Caenorhabditis elegans: one gene and its partner. The protein of the gene in region 2 interacts with the protein of the main gene of each other region in a pairwise test. Each region holds a gene or a part of one and is shown on either strand. Other genes may lie near its edges.

Evidence for each region.
Region 1: the proteins of skr-7 (region 2) and cul-1 interact in a two-hybrid assay, tested with the Caenorhabditis elegans proteins (2 studies listed by BioGRID).

What each region holds. Positions count from the first base shown.
Region 1 is NC_003281.10:10,469,300-10,473,227, forward strand, and holds the start of cul-1 (Cullin-1), read left to right. Parts: upstream 1-1,937; 5' UTR 1,938-1,938; coding exon 1,939-2,066; intron 2,067-2,120; coding exon 2,121-3,351; intron 3,352-3,873; coding exon 3,874-3,928. Other genes in the region: D2045.5 (non-specific serine/threonine protein kinase), read right to left, coding at 1-117, 172-204. UniProt on the Caenorhabditis elegans protein: Probable core component of multiple cullin-RING-based SCF (SKP1-CUL1-F-box) E3 ubiquitin-protein ligase complexes which mediate the ubiquitination and subsequent proteasomal degradation of target proteins.
Region 2 is NC_003283.11:4,420,230-4,423,642, reverse strand, and holds skr-7 (Skp1-related protein), read right to left. Parts: upstream 1,217-3,413; coding exon 632-1,216; downstream 1-631. Other genes in the region: Y47D7A.9 (uncharacterized protein), read left to right, coding at 1-24; skr-14 (Skp1-related protein), read left to right, coding at 2,068-2,574; Y47D7A.2 (Extensin-like), read right to left, coding at 2,955-3,049, 3,104-3,368.

The DNA of each region.
Region 1 (3,928 bases), on a different chromosome or scaffold from region 2:
TCCCTCGACTTTCATTGCGGCGTATGTCTGAAAGCGGGTCAGATCTCGTACTTTGAACACCGCACCCATACCGCCTTCGCCGAGTTTTTCAACGATTTTCCAACGCTTTGCGATTATCTGAAATTGAGGGAAATTGTGAATTTCCGGCTGAAAATGCTCAGAGAAACTCACTTTTCCTTCTGTGATCGCTTGAATTTCTTCCATACTGATTCTGACCACGAAATCGATTGAAACTGTGTAGCTAATAGAGAAATGTAGCTTTTCGAAATATTGAAATAAATTTAATTATTTATTCAATCCTTTTATGTATTGGTTTTTTGTTATTCACATTTTAAAATATTTTTTATTTTTCACGGCCGTTGTTCACCGATCATATGATTACGGTGAAAATTCTAAAACTATTTATTTCCTATTTTATACCAAATAGTTGCAACATATTCTGATAAATCATGTAAGTCTTGTAAGAATACAAAATGTTCTTAGATTTAATTAATGTTGTTTTTTCTTGTTATTCCAGGTACAGTATCTTTTTAAAGGCGCACGAACTAATAAGTTTACCGAGTCCCGCCAAGAACTGTTTCGAGTTTTACAGCGATTTTTGTTCATTTTTTTTCAGTTTTTGTCTATTTATTTGTGAAAGAATAATTTCTCCTCTTTTCCGCAATAGAAATATAAAAAATGATTACAGTTTTATGGGCTCCTGTTTAAAAAACCTAGTTCTACAGTACTTCGATTATTACTTCCACTAATTAAAATTTCCTTTGGGCATCGCCAGGATCGATGTACAGTTAAAAATCTGTTTTCCACCTGTTGTTTTATCGAATTCTTTTTTTACTTTTTTTTCTGCATAAAATGCATGTTTTCTCCAGTTTTTCTCGAATGAAAACGCGTTTTTCAACTTTAAACTATTAAAAATTCGCTTTCGTGTATTTTGCACATCGAAACACCTAAAAAACAAACTTTGCTATTGTTAAAACCTTAGAAAACTCCGCCCGTTCATTGCACAGCCGCTAATCATTCCCTCCTGTGACCTTTCTTTTCCAGATCATCCCGCCATCTCAGCTGTCTTTTGTGCACTAACAGAACCATTGTACTCACCAGAATTTCTTTAAGAATCGATGAAGACACAAGATGAGGCGTCTCTAGCTTGTGTCGCGCAGTCTCCGTCTCCAAGGGTGTTTAGCTCACTGAAATGGGCTCTGAAAAATCAACTGAAATTCGCTTTTTTTCTGTTCTTGGAAATTCCTGAGTCCCGGGGAAAATGAAATAGTCTAAAATTATTATTATTTAGGTGTCTTTCATCTGAAAATTTTCCAAAATTCACAGAGTTTTTGAAAATCTCCTGTTAAGAACAATTTAATTTATTTCCCCAGTATCACTTGAAAAGCTAGAATTATCGCTGGAACAATTTCCTTATGTATTTATTTAATTTCCCCTTTTCCCAGGCTAGCAAATTAGAAAATCTCCTATTTTCCCTCCAATTCCCAGTTAAATTTATCGATTTGCGGTGAGAATCGCGTCCGAGGGCAATCGATTTACTGTCTTCCCGCGATTTTCAGCGCGTCTTCTTAATTTCCAGTCGGAGGCTCACTATCGAGTCATTTCTAACGTCTGCTGGCTCACAAGTATCCCCATTCAGTGATGGCTCTGGATTTTCGTCTTTTTTTTCTATTCTTCCAGGATATCTATATTTCTCCCCCAATTTTGCTCCAGTTTTCCAATTTTTTTGAAAACATCTATTTTTCCGGGATCTCATAAATTTTCTCAATTTCAAGCCCATTATTTCCACCTTCGGTGACTTTTTCCCAACACATGATGATTTTGGATTGGAGCGCGTTTGCGTTTGGGCCCTTGTTTCCTCGTTCCTCTGTTTCTTGCGAAATTGACAAATCCCTTGATTTTAATCGACAATTATTTTTTAAAAATGTGTTTTTCAGTATGACAAATAGCGAACCGAGAAGAATGACGTGTGATTCCGAGGTGGTTTGGAAGAAATTACAAGATGGACTTGATGTAGCGTATCGCAGAGAAAATATGGCGCCAAAAGACTATATGACTCTTTACACGTAAGATTTCCCCCCGAAATTCCACAGAAACTCAATAAAATCTTTAATTTTCAGAAGCGTCTATGACTACTGCACATCGATAACATTGTCCACAAGCCGCCGAGACGGCGAAGACGGTCGAGCAGAATCTTCAACTCCAGCACGAACCGCTGGCGCGGATTTTGTCGGTCACGAGATGTACCAGCGTGTTGAGGAATATGTAAAAGCGTACGTAATCGCTGTTTGTGAAAAGGGCGCCGAGTTGTCGGGCGAGGATCTTCTGAAATACTACACAACTGAATGGGAGAACTTCCGAATCTCGTCGAAGGTGATGGATGGTATTTTTGCCTACCTCAATCGTCATTGGATCAGACGTGAGCTCGACGAGGGCCATGAGAACATTTACATGGTTTATACACTTGCGTTGGTCGTCTGGAAGCGTAACTTGTTCAATGATCTTAAGGATAAGGTGATTGATGCGATGCTCGAGCTGATTCGTTCCGAGAGAACCGGATCCATGATCAACAGCCGATACATTTCTGGAGTTGTCGAGTGTCTTGTGGAGTTGGGTGTTGACGATTCGGAGACCGATGCGAAGAAGGACGCGGAGACCAAGAAGCTGGCCGTTTACAAGGAATTCTTCGAAGTCAAGTTTTTGGAGGCGACCCGCGGATTTTATACCCAAGAGGCGGCAAATTTCCTGAGCAACGGAGGAAATGTGACAGATTACATGATTAAAGTGGAGACAAGACTTAATCAAGAGGATGATCGCTGTCAACTCTACCTGAATTCTTCCACAAAAACTCCACTTGCAACTTGCTGTGAATCTGTGCTCATCTCTAATCAGCTTGACTTCCTCCAGAGACACTTCGGTGGTCTTCTTGTCGATAAACGAGACGATGACCTTTCCAGAATGTTCAAGCTTTGCGATAGAGTGCCGAATGGACTCGACGAGCTCAGAAAATCCCTGGAGAATCACATCGCAAAGGAGGGTCACCAGGCGTTGGAAAGAGTTGCTATGGAGGCGGCAACCGACGCGAAACTCTACGTGAAGACGCTTCTGGAGGTTCATGAACGTTATCAAAGCCTTGTCAATCGATCATTCAAAAATGAGCCAGGATTCATGCAATCACTCGATAAGGCGGCGACTTCTTTTATCAATAATAATGCCGTCACTAAACGTGCCCCGCCACAGGCTCAGTTGACAAAGTCCGCGGAGCTTCTTGCCAGATATTGTGATCAACTGCTCAGAAAAAGCTCGAAGATGCCCGATGAGGCGGAGCTCGAGGAGTTGCAGACGAAGATTGTAGGTTTTTCTCGCTTTTTTTTTTCTCAAAATGGCGTAATTTCCAGCTAAAATTTGAAATTTAACCAACTTTTTGCATATTTTGGTTGTTTATTTCGTTGATTGAGGAACATTTTCGATCGATGAGTGCACACTGCGAAACTGATAAGTTGGCTAAATTTGAGATTTTCGCTGAAAAAAAAAAACAGATTCCTCTCCTTTTTTTCATATCGTTTTTCATACCGATTTTTTCATATCGATTCATATCGAGGCTTCTCAAAATTTCGAAAAATACGGCAATTTTCCCAACTTTTCAATTATTTACCTTTTTCTGACGTTTAAATGTGGCTATAAATCGACCTAAATCAACGAAAAACGCCAGTAATCAATTAAAAATCAATTTCCGACATACGGGAAAATTTGAGGTTTTATCTAAAATTGCCATATTAAAGGATTAAAAGATTTAAAATATTTCAAACCTCCATAGAAATGAAAACCCAATTTCTAAAAAGTTAGCTCAAAATTCTAAAATTTCTATTCCAGATGGTTGTGTTCAAGTACATTGACGATAAGGATGTATTCTCCAAATTCTACACGA
Region 2 (3,413 bases):
AGATTCCAACAGAAAAAACAATAAAATTTCAAAAATAAATTGAATTTATTTTTCGCTTTAAAAGTTTTCCCGATAAGCCATTCAATAAATCATTTTTTCGAAAATTTTTTGATTTGGGAAGCTTCTTCGCAAATTTTATTACAGCAAATTTGCTGCACATCCAAAAATTCTGATCCAAAAAATAACTAAATAACACCACAATTTCCCGGCCGACTACGGAAAAATATTTAAATTAGGAGCGGACTAGGGCTTCTATATAGGCGTTTAACACCTGCCTGTCTGACCTTAATGCGACCTCCGCCCGCCTCTCGCCTCAATCCGCGCCTATGCGAAAGGCCGGCATAAGGCGGGCAGGTTTCGGGCAGGCGTCAGGCCCTGAAACCGCCCCTGCCTACCATGGAAGCCAGCACCTTCCTGTGAACTATGATTAAAAATTTTCGAGAAATTTTCAAAACGTCTTGTTCTATAAATTTGTATTTTGGAACCACCTTGAGCCTCGAGCCTCACACAATAATTTATCATTTTAGGACAACACTTTTTTCTGTACGTACAATTCTTTTGATTAAAAACGTTTAATGACAGCGAAATGAATTTATTTGATCAAAAACTCGGAAAATTTAGAACGTGGGAGTTACTTGGAAGTTGATGGTTCAGCTGCGTCCTTCTCTGTGATTGCCTTTTTCTCAGCTTCAGCCTTCTCCTTTGCAGCCTTCTCGGCAGCTTCATCCTCCTCATCAGTTGGAATTGCAAAGAGAACTCTCATCTCATCAGGGGACTTTCCGATAGCCATGTTGGCGACCATCTTGCATGCATAGCTCATCAATCCAGGCACATCAAGGAAGTTGGAGGCAACAATCAAGTCGAAGAGCACGTCGTTGTCGATTTTCAAGAAGTTGGTATCCCATTCTGGAACAGTGATGTTCTTGGGAACACTGTCATCTTCAACTGGAAGTGTTTCTCCTTTGTGTTTCTCACACCACTCAATGACCATCTTCATGATGTTTCCGGTGACATTGGTAATTGGAATTGGATCCATTGAAGCAACATCATTGGCAACACATGTAGAAATCAGATTGGAGAGGGTGTTCGACTGCTTTACTGCTTCATCACTGATTTCATAGACTTGTCCATCACTTGATTCGACCTTGTACATGATTGGGGCGACAATTGGAGCCTCGTTGGCTTGAACTTCGACGGCGGCGGCTTCAGCAGACATTTTTGAAAGTTAGGGTGATTTCTGGAAAGATATAAATCAATATAGATATGCTGAAGAGTGCAGATGAAGTTTAAGAGAGTAAAATTGCGGAATGATAGAATGAAAAATGGGAAACTACCGAGAAAGAATTGAATTTTGGTTCACATATATTTTCAACATTCGTTCTTCACGAAAAATTGCATTTTTAGTAGAGTTATAACCATTTGAAAAATTTCAAAATTATCAAAACTGCTAAATAAAAGGAATATCTTTTTGACCAGGACTGTAGAAAACGAGGAAAAAACATAAGAAAAAAGAAAAGTAAGAGAAAATAAATTGCGACTGCTCGCGATGAGAGCCAAACGACAGAATGACCATCGAACAGACTGTTTTCGCTAAACGACGAGAACGCTGCAAATGTAACCCATCGGACGCGCGGTAAGTCAGTTATTGATTGGAAAATGTACATACACACTACTATATTTGCAGCTGTTCTTCGTCTTTAGCTCGGCTGAGGGGACTCTATAACACATTGTGCAACTTATCGATTCATTTTCAACGGCGCGTCTGACAGAACGGTGTGCATTGTCTGTACTCACCCATTCATTATGCAATTTTCCTTGTCTTGGATCTGGTGTTTTCTATCTGCTTTTCCTGTTTCTATCCTTTTTTGCCTGCCTTACAACCTTATTACACTCTTGTTGTAGGTGACGTCAAAATTTTTTTTTACTCCGATAATCTTCCAAAATCTCATTTAATTTTAGTTTAAATCTAGTCAGTTAGGTTTGCCATCGATACCTTTACCTATTTTCTATTTTCCAGTCATCTCGCAATCTAAGAATTCAATTTTCAGAATCGACATACTCATCACCATGTCTGCTCCAGTTTCCGATGCTCCAGCCGCCCAAATCTTTTACAAGATCATTTCAAACGATGGAGTCGTGACAAAAATGAGCGAGAAAGCCGTCCAACAATCGAAGACTCTCAGCAATCTCATTGAGAATCTCGGTTATACCATTGAAAACATTGAGACCCGTGATCCAATTCCAGTTACTAATGTGAATGGAAAGACTATGGAGAAGGTCGCTGAATGGTGTGAGAAGCACAACGCCGATGCAATTCCAGAGGACAATATGAATGTTCTCAAGACCCTCACCATTCCAGAATGGGATCAAAAGTTCTTGAAAATTGAGGATGAAGCTCTGTTCGATTTGATTCTGGCGTCAAACTTCCTTGACATCAAGGGTCTTATGTACTATGGTTGTAAGACTGTATCCAACATGGCAAAGGGCAAAACGACAGCTGAACTCAGAGAGATTTTCGGAATCAATACGGACGAACAGGATGCTGCTGAGGGAGGTGCCGTAGAAGTTGCTTAATTTTCTGATGTTTTAATGACTTTTTTCTTTTCTTTTCATGTTCCACTTTGATTGAAAATAAAATTTATGTTCAAAATTTTGAAAAAAGAACACCATACTTGTAATCAAACATCGATTATTTTTCTTATTGAAAATTGGTCTTGGATGCAAAAACATCGGGTGATTTTGTTAAACTTTTGGAAATGCTCCACACCATTCAATGCAAGTTTTGGAGAATGTTGAAAGCATTCACCATGAGTTCAATTTTAAAAATCTGTTACTGCTTCACACATAACATTTCTAAGTTGATGTTGAGTTGAGAAAAATGAGTTGAATTATGAAATGTTTATTTGTTCAAGTTTTAAAAAATCACAGTGCAATTTGCACTAAAACTACTAAATCTATTGCTTCTTCTGTTGGAATCTCTTGATTGGCTGGAGAGCACGTCGTTGGAATTGCCGATTGTGCGCGGTACGTGCCTTGGCGCGCTTGCGATCTGTAAAATATTTATTTATTGAATTTTTAGTCAGAAATTGATGTTTTCCCTTACACTCCGATGTTGAAGCAGCACCAGTAACTGATTCAGATTCAGTATCTTCTTGATTGTCACTTGAAGAATAAGCAGATTGAGCTGGTGGAGCAGAGTAGGATGGTGTAGATGGGTATGTTGGAGCGACTGGATACTTCTTCGGAGTTGGGTAGGATGGTGGTGGTGTTGGATAGGATGGTGTAGTTGGATAGCTATTCTCAGCAACTGGGTATCCACATTGAACAAGGATGACCAAAAGGGTAGAGAAGATGATGAAGGAACGCATTTTGATGTTGAAATTGATAACGACTGAAGTCCTGAAATACCTTTT